Daphnia pulex: one gene and its partner. The protein of the gene in region 1 interacts with the protein of each later gene in a pairwise test. Links are inferred from orthologs where the notes say so. Each region holds a gene or a part of one and is shown on either strand. Other genes may lie near its edges. The genes, in order: BTB/POZ domain-containing protein KCTD9-like and protein N-terminal glutamine amidohydrolase-like.

Evidence for each region.
Region 2: the proteins of BTB/POZ domain-containing protein KCTD9-like (region 1) and protein N-terminal glutamine amidohydrolase-like interact in binary tests that used the Homo sapiens proteins (3 or more experiments, as listed by UniProt). The link is inferred for Daphnia pulex from reciprocal best matches to the Homo sapiens genes KCTD9 and NTAQ1.

What each region holds. Positions count from the first base shown.
Region 1 is NC_060017.1:7,087,944-7,100,388, forward strand, and holds BTB/POZ domain-containing protein KCTD9-like, read left to right. Parts: upstream 1-6,963; 5' UTR 6,964-7,100; coding exon 7,101-7,154; intron 7,155-7,216; coding exon 7,217-7,338; intron 7,339-7,374; exon of another isoform or gene 7,375-7,466; intron 7,467-7,704; coding exon 7,705-8,227; intron 8,228-8,284; coding exon 8,285-8,420; intron 8,421-8,502; coding exon 8,503-8,562; intron 8,563-8,628; coding exon 8,629-8,731; intron 8,732-8,796; coding exon 8,797-8,827; intron 8,828-8,898; coding exon 8,899-9,015; 3' UTR 9,016-9,233; downstream 9,234-12,445. Other genes in the region: GPI ethanolamine phosphate transferase 3-like, read left to right, coding at 1-1,177, 1,246-1,465, 1,524-1,676; ornithine aminotransferase, mitochondrial-like, read right to left, coding at 1,892-2,058, 2,125-2,263, 2,339-2,611, 2,677-2,769, 2,853-3,171, 3,250-3,379, 3,447-3,666; 4-hydroxyphenylpyruvate dioxygenase-like protein, read right to left, coding at 5,167-5,341, 5,403-5,515, 5,589-5,740, 5,862-6,627; uncharacterized protein LOC124196876, read left to right, coding at 9,459-12,137, 12,207-12,445. UniProt on the Homo sapiens protein: Substrate-specific adapter of a BCR (BTB-CUL3-RBX1) E3 ubiquitin-protein ligase complex, which mediates the ubiquitination of target proteins, leading to their degradation by the proteasome.
Region 2 is NC_060028.1:392,808-404,214, reverse strand, and holds protein N-terminal glutamine amidohydrolase-like, read left to right. Parts: upstream 1-6,655; 5' UTR 6,656-6,792; coding exon 6,793-6,842; intron 6,843-6,918; coding exon 6,919-7,072; intron 7,073-7,135; coding exon 7,136-7,284; intron 7,285-7,348; coding exon 7,349-7,568; 3' UTR 7,569-7,848; intron 7,849-7,918; 3' UTR 7,919-8,169; downstream 8,170-11,407. Other genes in the region: vascular endothelial growth factor receptor 3-like, read left to right, coding at 481-762, 827-995, 1,114-1,274, 1,336-1,588, 1,657-1,836, 1,904-2,068, 2,177-2,283, 2,350-2,625 and 7 more; SR-related and CTD-associated factor 4-like, read left to right, coding at 8,567-8,596, 8,667-8,795, 8,873-9,034, 9,097-9,357, 9,418-9,770, 9,842-10,255, 10,315-10,804, 10,884-11,069 and 1 more. UniProt on the Homo sapiens protein: Mediates the side-chain deamidation of N-terminal glutamine residues to glutamate, an important step in N-end rule pathway of protein degradation.

The DNA of each region.
Region 1 (12,445 bases):
TCGAACGGTTACAAATGAAACAGTGTTCCAATTCGTGTACCTCCGATTCAAGTTGTTGCGCTCCGGACGAAAAACTCGAAGAATTCATTCAAGCAGCGCAGATTTTCCTCACTGAAGCTAAAGAAATATGCCGTTCCATGTGGGCTCGTTTCGATCTAACGTCCATTTCCATTGGATTGACAATTTTTACTTGCTCACTGTTTCTACATGCGAATTTTCTCATCGAATCCGAATTGAATTGGATGAAACCTGTCAAATATTTCGGTATCATTGGAGCCTTCCTCTCCATCTTAGTGCACAGTTGGTCTTCTGTGTTGACTCTTGGATTAAGTTTAACACCAGTGTTCGTTTATTTGGTTGGGACTATGCGGAAGATTCGACTTCAGCAGTTGTTTAAATTTGCTTATCTCGCCCCATTTGTCATGGCTGCTTCCTACACTTCAAACAGTTTCGTTGTTGAAGAACCCTACGTCGTTCACTACCTGGCACAATCATTCATCTGGATTCCGATGTTCTTCAGACGCCAAACGAAAAATCGTCAGTGGATACTTCGGATTGCATTGAGTTTGACAACTCGATTAGGATTGGCTTTTTTTCGCTGCCGTGAAGAACAGTTTCCTACTTGTGAAGCCCACAGCCTTCACAGGAGCCTCAATAGTCTTTCTGGAACTAACTGGATAGTCTTTGCAAGAGTGTCTACAGCTTTAGTGTCCTGCATTGCTTTTTATCTACTCTACAAACGATACCTTCCGTTTGACCGCAAAAACCTATTTATCGTCATGATCGTCTGGTGCTATTGGATTTTACAAAGTGCGTGTTTTCTGACCGACAGTGACACAATTGGACTCGTGTACCTTCCAAGATTGTTCTACATTGTGTTTATCGTAAAACTTTGCCATGATATTTATACGTTTTTATTCGATAATGAACTGGGTAAGATGTCAAACTATCGCAAAAAGATATCTCATCTGGTCATTCTACTGTCAACGCTGGCCATTTTGTTAGCTGGTGATGGCCTGGCCCCAGGTATTATTCTGGCACTGGCCAATCTTGTACTATTCTCTCAACTCTTCACCGGAGAAAGTAATTGCGGAGAGATGTGGCCTCTTTATGGACTTTTGTCATTGCATGGTTTCTTTGCTGGTGGACATCATACTAGCCTCGCTAACATTCCATGGTAAAAATATTATATAATATCAATTATAGTAACTTTTTCCACCTATTTAATTATTTTTTGGGTTAAAGGGAAACTGCTTTTGTGGGTTTATCCCACTCCGATAGCCAAAGTGAATGGGCTAACGTGCTGCCAGTTTTGTTTGTCAGTTATAGCACGGCGTTTTCTATGCTCCTACACGCCATGTCCGTCCCGATCGTGTCACTTTCGAACGTGACACGAAAGAACAAAGACTCGCAAATGTTATTAGTTAATGGCTGGCTACACTTTTTGTTTTTCCATGCTGTGCGCGTGAGTAGGAAAACGAAGATTAAATGAAAGTTCTAATACTACTTAATTTTATATTTAGTTGTTTGGCTGTATGGGCGCTGCAGCATTACACCGCCGCCACCTGATGGTTTGGAAAATTTTTGCTCCGCGACTTCTCTACGAGCTACTTTTCGCTGTTTACACTTCGTTGGGGATTGTTGCATCTTTATTCCTTTTTCAGGCAACGATGTAAATATATTTCGTTCTTATCATTTTCAACCCGAGACAATCGATCAAAAGACAAAAAGTATTCAAAGAGGGAAATAATCAATTGAGGGATTGTCCGTTGCCGGCTTTTATAAAGGGAAACGATTACAACAGAAAGGAAGCCCTTAGAGAGAAAAAAAAAAACATTATTGAATGGAAGAATTTATGAAAAGCTTAATCATTTTTTCTTTCTTTCTTTTTTCACTTGACATAGGAGTGAATAACTTTGCGGATGATGGATACACATTCCAGCATTTCCTTTTCATTGATGACCAGTGGTGGAGCAAAACGAATAATGTCACCGTGGGTTGGCTTGGCGAGCAGTCCTTCGTTACGCAGCCTCAGACAAACCTCCCACGCGTCAAATTCTTGAGAATAATAAATTTTATTTAGTAATCGGTAACTTGGGCATGATAAATGAATTTGGTTATTACCTGGCTGGATAACGATAGCATCTAACAATCCTTTTCCACGCACTAGTTTGATGACTGAGCTAGGAAGTTCCCTCATTTCATCTCGCAGGATCTTTCCAAGTTTTTCCGCATTATCCGCCAACTTTTCTTCCTCGAGTACCTGTAATCAGCAATTTTTGTTTGATTAAGACATCAGCGAAAGGCCCAAACTTTGAGAGAATGCTGATTTGTTTACTTGCAATGCTGCCATAGCCACTTTACAAGCCAGAGGATTGCCACCAAATGTTGATCCATGTTCGCCTGGCTTGATGGTTAACATTACTTCGTCGTTGGCGAGAGCAGCAGCCACAGGAAGAACACCACCGGAAAGAGCTTTACCGAGAACCAGAATGTCAGGCTTAACATTTTCGTGATCAACAGCCAGACGTTTGCCAGTCCGACCCAATCCTGTTTGCACTTCATCAGCAATCCACAGTACGTTGTTTTTAGTGCACAATTCTCTCACGCTCTATTTTAAATCGTCAAGTCATTAACGAATTTGCGCTATAATTTAAGGTGGTGTGATTCTCTTACCCTGAGATAACCCGGATCTGGAACGACTACTCCAGCCTCGCCCTGAATAGGCTCCATCATGAACGCGCAAACGGTAGGGTCTTCCAAAGCAGTCTGTTATTAGCAAATGAAAAATAGAACGGAGAATAATGGCAACTCTAGAGTAATAATCAAAACATAATCATGACGGTAGATACCTTCAGGGTGGCCACATCGTTGTAAGGAATGATTACGTAGCCAGGCATGTAAGGGCCGAATCCGGCATAGCTAGAAGGATCAGTGGAGCTCGAAATGGCGGCCATCGTTCGACCCCAAAAATTGCCTTCGACGAAAACAATCTTTGCTTGGTTGTCCGGAATCTTTTTGACAGTATAACCCCACTTGCGAGCCAATTTGCAAGCCGTTTCGCCACCCTCAACTCCGGTGTTCATTGGTAGGACTTTGTCATATCCAAATAGCTTGGTAACATATTCCTCGTATTCTCCTAGTACATCAGAATAGAAAGCCCTCGAAGTTCTAACAGAGAAAGAATTTGCGAATAATTTAAGACCCGTACGTTATATGGCATGCGAAAAATGTAATTTAATTACTTACAACGTCAATACGTCAGCTTGTTGATGCAAGGCTTTGATGATACGTGGATGACAATGGCCCTGATTGACGGCTGAATAAGCGCTTAAAAAGTCGTAGTAGACGCGTCCTTCGACATCCCAAACTCGCACTCCTAAATTGAACTACCCAATTCAACAATCATGGAGACAACAATTTATCATTGCAAATGTTTAACCGACCTTCGCCTCGACAGAGGGCTACGGGCAAGGGATGATAATTGTGGGCACCGTACTTATCCTCTCGTTTGAAAATGGCCTCTGATGCAGCTCCCATAGAGGCGGACAAATCTTCAGCTGTGGCCGCCGATACTTTCGTCGCCTTTGTACGAACTAACGAAGCCCTCCAGCCGTTGATAATTCCGGCCATTGGCCGAATGGTCTTGTTCATCGACGTAGCCATTTCTTTTCAAATCCTTAATTAATTGCAACAGTTAAGAAAAAAAAAATTATTATATTTGTGTAGACGTGTACAAACATAAAAATAATAACCTGAAACAAAATTTGCATTATGTCTGTATAGTTAGGCTAGGGAATTCAATCACGCTCGAAAACAAAGAGAGACGTATTCGCATCACGCCATACTACTCTCAATGCATACGCATTTCTTCTCTACTGAGTAGTGTCAGATTACGATTTTCATGCTCTTGGTCGAAAACAGTATTCAAGGTCGGAAGTTATTTTCATTCGGGAGTTCACATCTCTACTGCGTCGGCGTGAAGCATCGCTATCATTTTCTCTACTAGTCGTCCTTCACTATCTCGTAATTTTAAATATTCACAATGTGATTACTGCAAGTCTCAGGGCAATGTTTATCGTTAAATCAAGGGCAACACTTCCGGATTTGAATAAAAACTGTTGAATAACCAAGAAAAAAACCCTAAGCTTGTCACAATTGACATCGATCGGTTGTGCAGTCGTCCCATTTTCAACGCCTCTTATTGAACCAACAGATTGCCACTTAGAGTAAAAATCAGTCGAGAATAGGAGATGGAAATTCCCGCAATAAAGTATCAGTGTTGCGTCAGACCCTGTTTTCCGAGCTATTTTCTATAAGACATAACGGGAGTGCAAAACTGTAGAGCAGAAAGCAGTTCTACTTACGAGAGATTATTTACAGTGCAGTGGAGCAGTCGTCTCAGGTGGCACGAGTGTCCCGGAGGCTGTCGCGAGGTAGAATGTCCGTATTCCTAGCGAAACTCGGTCACTACATTGGACGATTGGCGCATATCCAATGGCTTCTGTGGGTTTCCATCACTTACAACTCTGCCGTTAGATGTCACGTTGTGTTTAATTTGCATTGGTTTTGATCAAATTTCAAATTTACACATTTTATTAACATATATCTGAATATTTGCAGTGTCGCAGTGCACATTATTTATCTGGTATTGTAAATCCAAATGATTGTAATCCTTAATATCTTCCAGTATTATCTAATCTACAAAAATTTAATCAGTCTATTTATTCAGTTCGAAAGTAAAAAAAGAAGAAGTTTAATCGCAGTGAATTGCTCGGGTTTTCAACAACATGTACGTAAGTTATACGTAAATGTTTGAAAAGGTAAGAAGATAATTTTTCTTTTAACCCAAGTTAAATTTCCCCTTATCGAAATCCTCATCTCAAACTGTGCCCAGGGAAAAGAGGTCAATAACTAAAGGTTGGCGTCCCCCCTCTCTCCATGTGTCATCGACTCTTTTAAAAAAGAATAGCACACACCTCCAGGAAGGCTATGTTTTTATGGCCGTCAAGATCTAATCGACATTTAAAAGAATAGAAGAGATGCGTGTTTTCATTGAAAAACAACTTAAAGCGACCTTGGCAACAAAGAAAGTTTATTTCGTCTATATTCAGCTTCGGAAATCTCAAAGTCAACAAGTTGTGTCCATTCAAATCACAAAGATATTTAAACTTGGGCGATAGATTGGTTCTTAATAATAATCTGCCGCTCTTCTTCGATCGATCGGGCCAGTGCCGTTACGTTGCCGGCACCAAAACCCCTCGCTCCTTTTCTCTGCACCACTTCCATGAAAAATGTTTCTTCGTTGAACAGTGGGAGCGTGAAGATTTGCAAAAGAAACCTGTTTGATAATTAAAACGTATTAGAAAACATGGATCGGTACACACACAAGAAAAGCTCACCTGTTGTCCTGCACTTCATCGCGGATATCCGCCTCGGAGTCGATGAGAATTCCTAACCGCTGAAATTCTTCGATGTCGAAACCAGCCTCTTGGATTTCTTTCCTTTTAAATTCCTAAACAAAAACAGATTTTTCATTTGAGGTTAAAACGAGCCACGAAATTTGCATTCCAGTCACATTTACGTACATTGCGGTAATAAGCTGCAGGCGGTGTTCGAAATGGAACCTGTTTGCGGATCATGGCACTCACGCAGCTGGTGATATCAAGGGAGCTGAGACCGATGTGTTGAAGACCTGGTCCTCCGTGACCGCCAAGGAAGGCGCCAATGTGCGAATTCTCTGTTTTGCCGTGAATCGCCACGTCATTAAAGAAATACTACGTTCGCTCGTATTATTAGACTTAACAAGTTATTTTCCTACTGACAATTTAGGAAGCTAACATTAGATGATCGAGATTTACCTATTCCTGGGAGAGATTCTGCGATAACAATTTTCAACGATGTTTCATCCATGCCATCGGGATTTGAATTACAAACGCCAGATTCAGCACAGGGCCAATAGTCCATCACTCGTAGTCTCATACCAACTCCGTCTTTGATTACTAAGCCTTCTTTCAGATTTTCAGTTGGATTGGCTCTGAACTTTTGCATGCCCAAGCAGTCTTGATACCACTGAATGATACCCGGCGATTCACCAGGATAGCACACATAAGTCAAATGATCAACATGTGTGAATGGTTCTTCACCCTGAATTTTGCTATCTTCTTCAGATTCATAATTAAATGTGGGGAGGAATGATCCCTTGTACTGAGATTTGTCCAAAAGTGTGTGGATTATGTTGCCACAACAGGAACCAACAATTGAGTACCTCACTTTTCCTTTTTTATCTTCCACTTCTGTGACAGGATGAAATAGTTGTCCTCCAAATTTCTGCATCCTGTCGGTGACACCTTCCAAATTTTTCACTTCCAAGGCAACATTGAACACTGTGTCAACCTCATGAACAGGTGTTTGGAAATAAGAAAATGGCACGAACTGCTTGCTGCTAAGTTTTTTCCTTTCCGTTACGACAAATGTAGATTTCTGACTTCCAACTACCCACTGGCTGCTCAGCAATGTATCTCTCCGTGCTCTCAGCGAAAAGCCAAGTTTGTCAGTAAAGTAGGAAACGATCTTCCTTCCGTTTGCGACACACAACTCAACATGATGTAAGGCATTTAAATGCATTTTGAAATACGACGCAAACACCGAAAAGTAAACCGCGGTTGAAACTGCTGTTTAGTTATCTTTAATTCTACAAAACAATACGTATATGGTTACGTGATAAACTGACGAAAGTTACCAATCACGGTTGTCGGCCTATGCAGACGACGGGATTGAATCTGGTCTGAAATTCGTCTGCAAAAAAAACGACAAAATAATATAAATCTTAAAAATAAAATATTACTAAATTTTGTTTTTCATTTCCTTCGTGAACATTTTCATACAATAAGAAAAATCAAAATAGAGCACATTTTACTGGTATTTTAACTTAGCGTGATTTAATGTAAGTGATATAGGGTTACGTCACAACGCTGTTGTGAAACTTGCAAAACTAATTTGCAGGAAAAAATAACATTGTTTTTTCACTTTTTCCTTTCTCTGAAAATTGAATTCTGAATATTTGTTTATCAAAAGGCCTTATAAAGTTTGACTATTACATGACACTAAGAGTGACCATATCTAAGAATGGAAATTCTTTATCAGGCAGAAAGGTTTGAAATTTTTTTTTACATTTATACTTCATTTTTACAATTTACTATTTCTAATCTAATAGGTCATTGCAGTTCCCTCAACATTTACTGAATTCCTCGCAGTGGCAAGTCTGTCTCTAGGAATAAAAGGAAAGAGGGTTTTTAACCAACATGGTGGAGAAATACATGACATTTTATTTATAAGGTACATTTGTTAAAAGCTTGTTTATTGCCAACTCACCAGTCCACTTGATGAAAAAGAATAAACCAATATGGATTTCTTCAGTTCATTCACAGAATTAACAGGCAGTCGATTCAGTTGTTTATGTGTGTCTGTTGGAGACAACAGATGTTTTACTCCTTTTATTAGCTATTTAGTTTTTTTTTCTTGTTTTTTAAATCCTTAATTTGACCTTGGTAGGATAGGATTACATGTTTTCTGCCTATAGATTATTAGTTCTGGAAAAAAAAACCTCCATAGGCTATTACTGTCTATAGTGCTATAACTATAAGTAGCAGGGAAATATTTCCAGGTAGTCTAATGATACTGTTTTGTGTTTTGTATTTCCAGGGACAATGAACTGCTGTACATATCTGAAGGTGGAGATTTTTGTTCAGAAAAAGAATGGGTGGCCCTGAATGTTGGTGGAAAACTTTTCACTACAACACGGATGACCTTAACAGCTAAAGAGCCATTCAGTATGCTCTCACGGATGTTTTCTTCCGATTCCGGACAATTCAACCTTAGCCCGAGCTCAGTTGATGCCAGTGGCGCATATTTGATTGACCGTAGTCCGACATACTTTGAGCCAATTCTTAATTATTTGAGGCATGGCAAATTAATACTTGACTCTGGAGTTAACGTGCAAGGGGTTCTAGAAGAAGCTCAATTTTTTGGAATCGAGTCATTGGTACCTCAACTTGAATCTCTCGCCGATGACGAAAAGTCGAAGAAAAAGCAACAACCATTGACAAGGGCAGAAGTTATCAAAGCTTTGGTTCGTACTTCACCAACCACCGAACTTCGCTTTCAGGGCGTAAATTTGGCCGAAGCGGACCTCTCTAAACTTGATTTAAGGAGCATAAATTTTAAAGTATGCGAGTCATGGCGACGTAAATATTCTTGAACCCACTAACGTATTATGTTATAGTATGCGTGCATGCGTGGCTGTAATCTGTCCGGAGCAAATTTGAGTTGGTGTAATTTGGAGCGTTGCGATCTATCTGGCTCAAAAATGGATGGGGCACAACTTCTTGGAGTGAAAATGCTGTGTGCTACATTGGAAGGTAGAACACTTCATCGAACATTTTTTAAATAATAGCTGATTTTATTTTTAAAAACTAAAACACAAAACTTTTTGTTTTTTAGGCGCTTCCTTACGTGGCTGCAATTTTGAAGACCCTGCTGGTAGTCGAGCCAATATGGAAGGTGATTCAGCACTTATTTTCAATTCAAAGAAATTTTTTAATCCAAATGTTTTTGAATGTGCTCTAGGAGTCAACATGAAGGGAGCTGTTCTCGAAGAGAGTAATATGGCTGGGGTAAACCTTCGTGTGGGAACCTTGAAGTACGCAAATCTTCAAAACTGCACTTTGAGGTAAATATTATAAATTTGGTGTTTTCTTCGTCCTTAATAATGTACAGATGTAAATTGTTTAACAGGGGAGCTGTTTTGGCTGGAGCAGATTTGGAGGTATTAGTTGTATTAAATACATCTATACTTTCCGGTTATTGGTTTTTAAACTTTAAAAATTTACTCTGTAGGGTTGCGACCTGTCTGGAAGTGATTTACAAGAGGCCAATCTTCGTGGAGCAAATTTAAAAGATACAACATTGGAATTAATGTTGAATCCCCTCCACATGTCTCAGGCTATTCGTTGATTATAATTTTTTTCGCCGGTCTACTCCCTCCTCGTTTTGATACGAAATATGAAGCTTTACATTAAATTTTTTTATTTTAAAATCCATAAATGAATTGTATTAGTGGACAGTTTTAACTATGTATTATTTTGTTCCTATTTATTGATTTTAATGATTTAGATTTAGGAAGAGGTGCGGGTTTTCAATTTAAAGAAAAATACAATATGTGGAACAGTAAACTGCGCGGATATTATTGTTTATGTCTACTTGTCTCGAGTCACTGGTCCTAGATGGGTCGAAGTGTCATGGCGTCGTGTGTTAATTGTCTTTCATCTTAGAAAGCCAACGCCCAGAACCATCAACGTTTCCTACAATGTTGGTTGGATTTCACAACGAATTATTTTCCGTGTTATTTTGTTGAAATATTTGTGTTCTGGGAGTGATATTATCTTCAGAATGCAAAAATGCGGGAAAACTCTTCAGTTGATGGCAAGAAGAAGCTCGTCAATAGCGGTGTCCCACTAATACTAACTTTAGTTGTATTATTGTGTGTTTTGGAATCTTCAATAGCAAAAGGGAAAACAGAATTTCCCAAGACAAATGCTGATCTACAAGCCACATCACTTTGTCCATCTGCATGCACATGTTCCGAACAAAAATTAAAGCTATCGCAAGGTAGTGTGGAGCAAGAGCTTAACCCAAGTAATCATAAAGAAACCACAGAAAATCTCAATGTATATAGCAAGATAAAGCCTGAAATACTCAAGAGTGGAATTAAAGTACAGTGCCAGAATCCTGCCTTTATAGTGTCTGTGAAGAAGTTAAACCTGCAATCGCTACTGGTGGAAAATATTGTACAATATGATCTTTCTGGAAACAGCCTTACAAGGTTATCGGGTGAAGACTTTGTGAACGGCAACTACTTAATGCTTCAGAAACTTATACTTAAGAACAATCAAATAGAAGAAATTGCAGCTGATACATTTTCAACGTTGAAGAATCTCAAATATTTAGACCTGAGCAATAATTTTTTGACAAATTTTTCCAGTGCAATAATTGAAAATGTTATGAGCTTAGACAGAGTGAAACTAAATGGAAATCCCCTCAAGTGTGACTGTCATCTGAGTGCTCTTCTCACCTACGCGTCGTCACGTAACATCAGACTTCAAGGAACATGTTTGGAGCCGCCTCGACTAAAAGATCGTTCATTAACCAGATTAGTCGTGGAAGAACTAGCATGCCCCCCGGAAGATCCAGTTGGTGTCGAGATCAGACCCAACACTAACCAACTTGTTTTTGAAGGTGATCCATTAAAGTTGAGTTGCAAATTCAAAGCGGGACGAGCTGTTGCACCGAATTGGCTTCATCGAAATGCGAATAACCAAACTGCTACCGTGTCGCCTGGTGGAGCTGTAGAATTAACAACTAGCAGCCGTGGAACAGATCAGGGAACGGAGACCGAAAGCCAATTACTCATCCGTCATCTACTTCCCCGGCATGGTGGTATGTGGGCTTGTTCATGGGGTGGTAGGACTGCATCTGTTGAAGTTACAGTCCTGTCCCTTACAACACCTACTTGTTCCAGCCATGTCACTGCATCCAACAAAGGTCGTTACAGCTGGCCACGCACCATGGCAAACCTCAAGATTACTCTACCGTGCCAAGCCAATCCGAATCTACAGGCCTTCCGGCTGTGTGGAGCACTAGGGCACTGGGAGGAACCAGATCTTAATTCCTGCTTTTATCTCAGTGAGGTTACCAAAGTATTAGAACAGTTTGCCAAGACCAATTTGACATTCAGCAAAACTTCTGCATTGGAGAGTGCTCGTAGATTAAAATCCTACCTCACAGATGTGATTAGCTTGACAGATCCGCACGAAGCCATTTTCGTTACACAAACGTTGCACAATTACCTTGAAGCCAGTGGAAAACATCCCGAACTACTACCCCTTATTATGGATATCTACTCAATCCTAATAACACAAGATCCACAATTGTTGGCTGATTCGCGTCACGGACTTGTCGGGCTACTCCAGCAAGCACCTCTCAAGACTCAAGAATTTGAATATCGATCTTCCAGTCTGGTGATTGAAAAGTGTGGAATTATCGGGAAATCTCTGAGTGCAGGAACTTGTACGTGGAGACGAACGTCAGAGACAGGCAGCAGTAAATCAGATTCTAAAACTAAAGCACGAAGTCCTTATCAAGCAAGTTGTGGACAGAACTCGAACGGAACCGGAACAATTGAAGCTTCAGTAAGGGTTCCTTTGATTTCAGAAGGAGCATTTTCGGAGCAGAGTGTCGTACTTTCCTTAGTACTCAGCACGAACGCCTTTGTCAGCGCTAAATCGAAACCACTTGCAACGCCTGTATTAGGGGTTACTTCTGGCCCTGTCAGCAATTTAATCAATCGCACAACACCCTTCGTTATGACGATACGTCTTAGTAGGGCAATTGGCACGTCGGACCGTCTAGTCGGAGCTAGATGGAATCATTACACAGATCAATGGAGCCCAGAGCAATGCCAAACTTTGAAGTCATCAGGACTAATGTCGGAAGGAGACTCAGTAACCTTTCAGTGCTGCTGTGGCTTCGGTTTTTTCGCCGCGTTTACCACCCAGGACGAAGAGGATGAACAAAATCTAGTGGAACAGGTGACAACAAAGAGTGGCAGTGGCAGTATTCCTGGTAGCGCATACTTTCCTGGACAACTACATCTTCTACCATCACCGGTCTACGTGGGCAGTGTCATTGGACTACTGTGCCACCTGACAGCCTGTCTCTGCTATCTGATTCACCGACGGCGACTGAAGATGACCCAACCCACTCGACACGCTTTAATTAACACCTGGATATCAGTCGCATTGCTGATGGTTGCCTTTACATTAGGTGTCCGTCCAGTCCTTGGCAAACTTCCTTGTCAGATTGCTGGTCTCTTACTTCACTATTTGACACTGAGTTCACTGCTCTGGATGGTAGTGAACGCATCGAGTTTGTACAAGCACATAACAAAATCATCGCGCACTGATCCTGAAACAGACTCGTCTCTTATGGAGGAAGCAATGGCTGTAGGTCACGATTCACCACCCAAACCAGCTTTACGGTTTTATTTAATCGGATGGGGTATCCCACTTATTGTCGTGGTATGTATTGGAATCTTAAGAAATTCTACTAAAGGTTTTGTAAATTGTAAATCTTCCATTTGTTTCCAGGGAATTGCTGGAGCTATCCATTTGGAGCAATACTATGGGCCAAAGATTTGTTTCTTGGCTTGGACTCCTAGTTTGGGTGCAGTTGGACTTCCTTCGGCAATTTTAATTTTGCTGATCTTAACATTTCACCTATTAACCTGGTGCTTCTTAAGACACACCTCTCGTCTGGCTGCCATTCATCAGAAACAATTAACAACGCTCGCTGCAGTCGAAGAGCCTGGTGCAATGGCAGCAGCTGC
Region 2 (11,407 bases), on another chromosome or scaffold:
GAGTCGTCTTGGCTGCCCCCCCACAGAGATCGTATCCAACTCCAGTCTCCCGCCTCTCACCTGTTTAGTGCAATGCACAAGTGGAGAGGGACAAAAAAAAAACACCCCATTAAAATATAGGAAATATAATCATAAAAACTTGTGAAATCAACTTAATCTACTTAAAACAAAAAGGGAAAGAATTTCAATTTTCCGACAAGGAAGTTATTAACGAGAGGTAAAACCACAAATATCCGCTACAAATTTGGCATCAACACGTCCGTTAGAGATAACGAAACGGGTGCAAACAGGACGTTAATGTTGCTGGTTTCAAATGTGGAAATGTTTGTACAAAACGAAAACCACTCTTTGCGGTTTGGAATTTTTTTAGGCGATCTAAGCACAGAGAAAAAGTCATCAGACATTCGATTTCTCCCTTCGAGCAAGGTGCGTCTACTTTGAAACAATTTCGACAAAATTCGTGAGTACCTCAAATTGAAAATGTCAAGATCACGACGGACGTGCGTTTCATCACTTGGGAAGTCGTTTCCACAGTTAGTAAGTAGTGGACAAACGGTTTGGTTGTTTCAAATTTTCTTTCTCTTGTCGACTCTGATCGTTCAGAGCCAACAGCAATTCAAACTGACACTAGTCCCGAGCGGTGATGAACAGGTGGTTGAAGCCGGTTCAACTGTAACAGTCACCTGTATATTGGCCGATTACTTAATTCTTCCCGAGCTGTCAAACGTGACGTGGACGACTGAAAACAGAAGAAACATACAGGTTTAAAATAATAATAAGCATATAAATATTGGAAATGACAACAACAATATGTCGATTGTTTCAGGATATTGGCGGACGCCTGAATTTGACTAGTAACACAAACGGCACCCACCTAATATCAATGCTTACGTTAAGAAACGCAACAGCTGAAGACACAGGCTATTTCGAATGTAGCCATTTAATGTACTCCAGAAGAACAGTTTCGTCCCTCCGTCAATACGTTTACGTTTACAGTTGGTTATATCCCCTATTATTTCTTAAGCGCAAAGCAAAAATAACAGCAGAAATTTTAAGATGACAATTCAGAATTCACAACTAATCAGCCACTTTTTCAATTCACTAAATTTATAGGCTATGAACAACTCGTCTTCGTACAAGACCAAGAAGATCAAGAACATCAAAGTTATTTCATCGCCGAAACAGGACAAGCTTTCACCGTCCCGTGCAAACCCACTCATCCGAACGTCACCGTCGCTCTATTTAAGGGAAATCCACTCACCAATTTTTCTGAGGTAGCACTAATGGAATTATTCAATTTTGAAAGAGTTTTCAAAAATTATAAACTTGATGAAGGTTTGGTTATCCCAAAACAATTCGGTGTGGTCGTTTGAACCGACGAGAGGATTCACAATAAAGAACATTAGGGTTAATCTAAATGAAGATACTCTTTACTTTTGTACTGGAACGCTGGACGTCATCAAAGGAAAACGCGTCAAAATTTCCGAAAAAAGAATTGACGATGACTTCCCAAATTTTTTAAAAGGGTTTTTACCGAAAGATAAGCTGCCAATTACAGACTTTGCACCCTTCCTTTTAGGCGTAATAGGTACGGTACATGAAGTTCAATTTTGAAGTAAAAAAAGTGTGATTACATCACAACTTAATTCTTAATAGGAATGGAACTGGAAAGGGTCGGCGAACCAAACGATCCCGTAGAAGGAAGTAACGTCACTTTAATCTGCAGCATTTCAGCATTACAAAGAATGAGTTCGTCCCTTATTTCAATGTGGTCCTATCAAATCAAAGGCAACGGAGGAATGCAAATCATTGATGACAAAAACCCAGCACCACCAGGTCTGAAAGCATTGGCAAACTGAAAGCAGTCTTGGTACCATTTTCTGAATTCTCTGACTTTCTGAAGGTATCCTCACTACGGAAAAGAATAATATTGGTGAAACTTATACGTATAGAGTTGACAAACGACTGTACCTGCACACCGTTAACCTTGGCACACCCTACACAAGATTCCAATGTTCAGTAAACAATAGAAGGAGGGATCGAAAAGAGATTTCTTTCACAATAAAAGGTAACGCTTTGATCAAATTGATTTTTTTTCTTTTTTTTTAAATCTTTCCATTATGCTAATTTCATAATTGCAAAAATTATTTAATTTAACCTCTTTTCATTTCTACAGAAATAAACAACGAACCAGTAGTTAATTCTATCGCATTGAAAAATGAAACAGCCCAGAATTTAACGTGCAACCGATTATCGCAACATGTCAAAGTTCAGTGGTTCAAGGTAAACTAATCTTACCATTCTTCGTAGCAGCCGTTCTTTATACCAAACAATTACTTTGATTTAAAGAATAACAGGAAATACACCGGCATAATCTTCGAAACTGAAATCGCGTCCGTTTTGCCACTCGAAGGAAGAGCAACTGAAAATGGAACCTACGAATGTCGGTGGAACAACAGCCGTGGCGAAGCGAGGCACAGGCAGTTTATTGTCAGTTTCATTAGAGTTGGAATAATCGACTCAAGTGAAGCAAAATCATTTGCTACAGTCAACGGAATTTCAATAACTTTTGCAGTTTTATTTGCAATTGGAGTTGGAATCAGTATCAAAATTTACCTCGACAAGGTAAGTGATGAAAAGGAATTCTTCTCTCAACATGTTTCCTTACTTCGTCACATTTGAAAATTCAACCTAATGTCAATCCTCATTTAGAAAAAGGTGGAAAAATCCCTTGAAAGTAGACTGAATGGCGACCCAGGCAAAATCGACCCGGATGTGCCGATGGAATATCAAACGGAATTCCTGCCCTACGACAAGAAATGGGAATTTCCCAGGAAAAGACTCAGACTTGGTACGTTATTCTCTAAAAACAAATTTATGCTTGATTCCGTCAAGTGAAAAAAATTCTTTAAAATAAAGGCCAACAACTGGGAGCTGGTTGTTTCGGGCGAGTCGTCAAAGCGGAAGCCGTGGGCATTGGAGGAACTGAAACGGTGACCACAGTGGCCGTTAAAATGGTTAAAGCAACTGCCCAGTCTGATGACGCCTTGGCCGCTCTCATCAGAGAATTAAAAATCCTCATCTACATGGGATCGCACGTTAACGTCGTTAATTTACTAGGGGCCTGCACCAAAACTAATAACAAAGGTGAAATCAAAAAGCAATAAAACGAAAATTAATAAATTAACAAAATCTACGGCCTTGATTTTGCAGAAGAACTTTTGGTCATCATCGATTATTGTCGTTTCGGCAACATACAAACATATTTGACAAAACATCGCGACCAATTCATCAATAAATTGAACGAATTCGGTGACTTGTCATCACTTACTGAAACGGCGGAAACGGAAATTAATGAAAAGTAACTAATTATGACACAAATCGATTCGTGAATCTCATTTTTTTCTTATAGCGACAACATCAACGAAGGAAACCCTCCCGTATCAACAGTGGATTTAATCAGATGGACTTTGCAAATAGCTCGTGGGATGGAATTTTTGTCCAGCAAAAAGGTCTGTGCAGTCAAATGACCTACGACTTATTAAATTGTGAAATTTCGAATTGTCTATGATTTGACTAACAGATTCTGCACGGCGATTTGGCCGCCCGCAATGTCCTTTTAGCCGATCACGGAATCGTCAAAGTTGCCGATTTCGGAATGGCAAGGCAAATGAAGGATTACGAATACGAGAAAAAGGGAGAGGTAAACTAATAAATCAATAAAATTATAATAATGTTCAATAACACGTGAGATCTCTCTTTGATGGACAGAGCTTAATACCGATCAAGTGGATGGCGATTGAATCGCTTACAGCTAAAATTTTTTCCAGTCAATCGGATGTCTGGTCCTACGGGATTCTCTTGTGGGAAATTTTCTCCCTCGGCAAAGTCCCATACCCAGGTGAAACACAATTCAAATGAAATATCCCCTCGAACTTCTCGAATGAATTATTTCATTACCAAAAGGAATGAATGGCAGGGAACTAATGGAAGATATTCAAAATGGATATCGAATGACACCACCGGAATATTCTCCAAATTTCTTCGGCCAAATTATGAAAAATTGTTGGGAGAAAGATCCAAAGCAAAGACCGAGATTCTCTCAACTGTCAGAAATGATCGAAAAATACGTGGAGTCATTTGTCAGCATCGACTATTTAAATATAAATTCCTCGTGTGAAAATGGTGCAATCAACGAGATACTCGAACCTACTGCGACCAGTCGTTTAGATATCGTGACAATTTTAAATGAGATCCGGCAATCAGCTGATGTGAACTATTCTATTGGTTATTCAGAATTGCAAGCAAAATAGGCAACGTGACCTGCTTAACTATGATCAGTTATCTTCACAAAATGGTCTGAATTTCTTCTATTGGCAAAATACACAACGCTGTTCAAAACTAGCCGGTAGCGCATCATCGATAAGGAAGACGTATCCTGCATCATGTTTTACACAAATCGTGCGGGAAAACAAACGTTGACATTTTCGTCTTAATGTAGATTTGAATTAATAAAAATGTGACCCATAAATATCAAGACACTTAAACGAGGAAGGGGCTTCTATTGATTACTGTAGCTATTTTAAATAAAGTTGGTGGTAAACTAGATTTCCCTTCATCTAATTCCCATCAAATGAATCAGAAAAGGATGACTTACCGAAATGTTCTTGTAGCCTTCATCAGCCATGGCTAGAGGGTTCTGGTCAGTTGAGTTTCCACAGAACTGAATTGGCCTGGGCACCACATTTTGGAGACTGCCAAACTGGAAATTCCCTAGTAAAATTTATAAGACATACATTTTTGTAAGAACTATCATTGTAAAATTTGTGATGAACAGTTAAACATGGTACAAACACATCTAAGCATGAATTGAAGATTAATAATAGATTGTCAAAGTTAATATTTTTTTTTTACTTGTACAAGAAAACGAAAACTTCTTTAATACAATTGATTGTTAAATAGTTATTTACCTGATGGCACCTATCATCACGGTACTAGACAGGGATGGGGGGAAAACTATAACCAAATCAGTAACAAGTTTATGGTGAAATCCAACTTGAAATGTTTCAACTGAATAAATTGCTGGTCGAAGCATTTTGACATAAACTCCGGGAAGCAAACAGTCACCTGCAGTCTGCAGGCTCTCAGCTGATTAGAGTTGACTCACAGGATCATTTGACGGAAGCAAATTTGTTATTGACATCCGTCGTCGCCGCCTGATGGATAGAAATTCAAAGGCCCCTGGTGGCTGAATGTAAACAAAATAATTACATTTTATAAATATTAATGAAAAAATAATAATAACATTAATGGGCCCAAGCTTTGGAAGAAATCAATACTCCTTAAATGTGCTCATTGCTTTAAATACAACACAATCTTTTATTCAAATCGAAGCCATATTGTGTTCCAACTTCATTTTCACTCAATCTCTACACCCACTTTACTATGAACAAATGAGGTGTGGAGTGGTGGTGGAATCATAACAATAAAAACTCGAGAGTTATGGAAAAAAACTATACCTGCTAAGTAGAAAAATTTATGAATGTCGAAAGAGTTAGGCTAGGCCTCTTGATTGCTCCAATACCAGCAGCATCAGTCTCATGACTACTTCATTTGGAATTATCTAAATCAAGAACACATGGATTATAAGTCCTCTGTTCTATAAAGCTATACAGGATTATAAGTCCTCTGTTCTATAAAGCTGTACATACTCAAATCGTTTACAGTTTAAAGCCTATTTCAAGTATCAAATAGCCTAATATAGTATCACAATATAAGATAGGATGGGGTGTAATACCATGCTTTTTAGTAATTCAATAAGTTTTTGTAATCATGCAACAATGAAGCAAGATATGAGCATAATAAAAATAAAAACCTTGCTTTAAGTCACGATCAGATCATGAGATCTAAACTTTGGGTTCAATAAAATAATTCCTGTTGACTGATAGTTACGTTTAACTAAGCGCAAAAAACAGACCACACACTTGATGATAAAGAATTTATGCTAACAATTTTACCGATTTATCTGGGGAAACGCGAAACGAATACAAATTACCAAACGAACGTAGAGAATTGTAGAAACGATCTGGTAACGATAATACTTCCAACATCATGTGTACTGCCTAATTTAAAAAAACACATACTGTATTACTGTCGACTCGTCGGGTGTCGACGGTGGCCACCATTTTGAATAATTTAACTGAAACTGGAGGGGGAATGGGGCAAGGTTGCATCAAGATAAAAATTTATTCGGCCACATCTAAAATAAATTAGCAAATTGGATATGTCATATGTGTTTTGATTCTTTCGAATTATTCTCGAATGCAGATTCATTTAATTATTTATTATCTCGATTAAACTGAGGTCGGAAAATTCCTCTAACCTGAAACAAACAACAAAATGTCTTTCTTGAGGCCGCAGGCATAGAGAATAACGAGCTTCTCTATGTGACTACTAGATGGCGTCACCGCTCGGGTTGGCCCGCGGACCCGGTGGTTCAACCCGTCGCCCGGCCCGTAGAAAATATGCCTCGGTGGGTCGAGTTGGGTTGGTTTTTTTTCCTTCAGCACAGGCTGTGGCCCGGGTTTTCATGGCCCGGGCCACAGCCCTAAAGAGTAAAGAGACATCTGTCGTAGAAATTTGTCTCTACGCAGGGAAAAGTGCAGAAGAAAAAAATTTTGCGAGTTTGAAACCGTTCGAATCTTCGAAAAAGGATATAATAAATAATAATAAAAAAATAAAACACCGAAATTCGATGAGTTAGATTCGTCCCTCAACTAGATATTTAATTCAATGTCTATTTCAATAAATTCAGAAGACTGCGTCTACACAAGCTGTTATTGGTAAATATTAAAATGACTTCTTTTGCCCCAGCTTTACTGAATAGTGACATACTTTTTATTTGTTACATACAAGAAGCGAGGAGAATGTATGGCATGTATGCAAATATGTGAAAGAAAATCACCCTGGACTTCTTGACAAGTGTGTTGCTGTATTCATTTCAAATGAAAAGCAAACCATCCCGTTGTGGAGTCAAAAGCAGAGCACTGATGAGAAAGGGCTAGTTATCTGGGTAAAACATAAATTAAATCACTAATGCATAGATTTATGTTGATTTTTAAATATTTCTTTGTAGGATTATCATGTGATATTCATTTACCACGCCAAAGAAAATTACTTTGATGTTTATGATTTAGATACTACATTACCGTTTCCCTGTTCATTTGAAGAGTACAAAACTAAAGCTTTGGGCCTAGATCATGATCTGCAAACTCAATTTCAAAGGTTGAATTTTAATTGATTGCCATTATTTCACCATTCTCAGTAAACTAATATTCTTCTTCTCCAGATATTTTAGAGTCATACCAGCTGAGCAATACCTAACAAGATTTGCTTCTGACAGATCACACATGATTAAGGATGCCAAATGGTTGAAACCTCCCCCAAATTATCCCCCAATTTTTACTGCCACATCCGCAAATAATTTAAATGATTTTATAAGTATGAGTAGTCGAGAAGTTCCCGGTCAAATTTTCAATTATCGGGATTTTGTCTCGAAATTCTCTTGAAATTTGACAAAATACAAAAAAATATATTATCTTCAGCGCTTGGCCGCTTGCGCATTATTCACACGCGTTTATAGCAGACGAAAAGATGTCAGAAACTCACGTTCGTTGTCGAAAATGTCGAACAAAATTGATTTTACCTGAAGAAAAAGATTGCCTGACAACTTGTCATGGACCTTCTGATTCTCAGGGAGAGGATAATTCAGAGTGTCTCTTGGATAAGTCAATATTATATGTTAAGGATGAGAAACTGCCAGTCTGGCTTGAAACCCTAGTTCAGACAGTAAGTACGCTCAATAATATTTTACAAACTCATGAAGAATGACCAAAATCCCTTTTCTTCTGTATTAAAGTCTTCCTGGACCAAGGGTAAAATTGTTTGCCCTTCTTGTGATGCCAGGCTTGGTACCTTTGATTTCCTATCTGGACAGAAGTGTCAGTGCCAACTCCATGTCCTACCTCCTGTCCGATTGACAAGCAGTAAGGTGGATCAGCTGAAATCATGATATGAAAATGTTGTTATGTGATATTTTTGTATGAATTCATTCATGTTCCCTGGCAATTGAACCATAAATAAATCTGAAAGAATCCCCAAACTGAAAAATATTGTTTTCTTGAAAGCATGAACATCTTGCTGAAGCATAATTTATCAGTCAGTTTCTAACATTTAAGATTTTTAAAAAAGTAAAGAATTTTTAAAGTAGTTTTTATTTTTAAAGAAGAGGAAAGAATAATTTTAAAAATCTGAATTCGTCATTAATAATAAAAATCACCGAATTAAATATTCAATATAAAGTTTTCAATGTAAACGTGGCAATGCCACATATTTCCGGGCGTCCACCATTGAGAATTTTTTTTCGTTAAAAATTTTGGCGTCGAAAATTTTGTGTGGGAAATGGACTTGAAAACATTGTGAATTTCTTGCCGGAACTAGTGTTTTTGCATCGATCTTCAACTCAAGGATTATTAAACGCGTTATTGGATAATTGCAGGCCACCACCATGGATACTGTTAAGGCTTTTAATGCGGAGGTAAACGCTCGAATCTTTCAACTTGTGACTAGGGGGATGTATTTTTCAAAATATTATCAAAATTTTACAGCTCTCGTCGCTCTACGACATGAAACCACCTATATCCAAGGCAAAAATGACTGCAATCACAAAAGGCGCCATCAAAGCAGTCAAGTTTTACAAACATGTTGTTCAGTCTGTCGAAAAATTTTTGCAAAAAGTCAGTAATTTTGGCCACCAGTTGTCAAACACGCTTTTAGTTGACATAATGACATTAAACTTTTTTCTTGATTTCAGTGTCGACCTGAATACAAAATCCCTGGATTATATGTGATTGACTCTATAGTTCGACAATCTAGGCATCAATTCGGAGCAGATAAAGATGTGTTTGCTCCTCGGTTCTCAAAAAACGTAACATACACCTTCTACTTCATTTATCAGTGCACTGGCGAAGAAAAGGTAACCAACTTATTTAACAACTTGACATCATTTGATCTAAATAACATTGTACTGCTACACAGAGTAAAGTCATCAGGGTGCTCAACTTGTGGCAGAAAAATGCAGTGTTCCCTCCTGAAGTCATCCAGCCACTATTTGATATGGCTGATTCCAGTCATCCAAAGTTCAAGGAAGTAGCGCAATATGTAAACTCAAAAGGGGCCTCCAGTTCAGGGATATCTGCAGGCAAAAGCAATTCTCAGGACAATACTACTAATCTTAATGGCAACAATGAGGCAGCAGTTAGTTTTGAAGAAACATCCAATGATGGAAATCAGGTGCAGGTAACTTACCGTCAGTTGTGCCCAAAGATGCACATTGTTAATAAAGATTGTCCTTTGCAGAGTCAGTCTTTGGTAATGGGAAATCTTCCCAACCTGAGTAGCACAGAAATGAGTCTAGCTACCAGGCTGCAGCACCTGCAACATCTATTTGGACAAGAACCTCCCAATAACTCGAGCAATCCATTAGCGGCTCAGCCTTTAACGCCAGCCAAAGTCCCTGCGAATGCCAACGATACGGGGCAAATTCGATTCAACAAGAAGCTCTTGGACTTTGACTACGATGAAGAAGACGAAGAGCCGGACAAAACCGCTAGGGAAACTGGCCAACAGCAAGCCAAACCACAACCGCCTCCGCCACAACAACCAGTTCAACCTGCTCTTACATCAAATTCCACTTCCGAATCACTTGGAACGTAAGTGCTTACAAACCTATTGGATAAAACAAAACTAAAATGCTAAACCTTGTTTTCCAATCGATTTGCAGTTTGCTGACTAATCCCGACATTCTGCGACATCTTCAAAGCCTCCAGCAACAAATTGCACAGCCAGCGGTCCAGTCGGCTTCAATCAGCACGAATCACCACCACCATCACCAGCAGCAGCAACAACACCACCACCATCAACAACAACAGCAACACGAAGAGCAACCGATTTGGGAGCCGGCCAACAACCACGGCCAATACGGTCAAATTGATTTTACTCAACCGCCACCCGGATTCATGCCGATGGGAGCCGCCGGTTTGAGTCAACCTCCAGTGGGCTTCCCTCATCACCATCCTCCGCATCCGCCGAACGCCGCAGCTCAGTTCCAACAGCACCATCAACCTCCGACCATCAGGGAGGACTTGTTTCAACCAGGCAACGGTGAAGTCATTGAAATCGATCCTCCACGATCAAAGTAAGAATTACATTTCATTTAACTATACTGGCGAGTTACCAATTTTTAAACCAACTCAGAGAACGAGAGAGACGGAGAAGTCGATCGGGATCACGTGGTAGACGAGCCCGAAGTGGTGGCCGTCACGGGGGTAGAAGGTCGAGCCGATCGCGATCGAGATCTCGTGATCGGGGTGGTGTACGAAGACGTTCCAGGAGTCGTTCCAGGAGTCGCAACACTCGTGCTAGGCCTCGATCTCGGTCTCGAGACCAAGAGAGGGAAAAGGAACGTCTGGAACGTGAAAAGGAACGCGACAGGAAGCGGCGAGGTCTGCCACCTACAAAGAAAGAGGCGCTGAGCGTTTGCAGCACCACCCTGTGGGTGGGTCACCTCAGCAAACTGGTCCAACAAGAGGAGCTGTCGGATACGTTCGGCCAGTACGGCGAGATTTTGTCGATTGACCTGATCCCACCACGAGGATGCGCTTTCGTTTGCATGCACCGACGACAGGACGCTTACCGGGCACTGACTAAATTGGCTGGACACAAATTGCAAGGCAAAGCCATCACGGTAATTGATTGACTGGCATTTTTCTTAGTTTAATTTTCTAGATTTGACAAGGTTTTAATATTTTTTAAATTAAAAACAGCTGGCGTGGGCACCGGGCAAAGGAGTCAAGGCTAAAGAGTGGAAAGACTTTTGGGAGGTGGACCAGGGAGTGTCTTACGTTCCATGGCAAAGATTGAGCCAAATGACGGACTTGGAAGCTCTGGAAGAAGGTGGATCCTTTGATGAAGAAACACTTCCTCCTTGGTTGCGTCATCATTTAAATCAGGTAATTCAACAGAATTCAATTCCGGAATTTTATTCTTAACATCTCTGTTTGTATTTAAAGGACGATAAGATTGGGCAGCAAAGGATTCCAATGGCTCCTACTGGCTTCATTCCCATTCCGGAAGCGGGTCCTCCTACTCCCGAAATGAATGAACCATCCAGCGGAGGTGGACAGGCTATGTCGACTGCCTCGGGTCCATCTTCACTGAATACTGCCACAACGACACTGCCGGCCAATCTGCCCACTTATGCAGCCATGGCTCCTCATTCACTTGGACTCTTACCAGTGCCCCTGGGAATGCCACCTGGACTCAGACTGCCTCCGCCCGGTACTGCCGC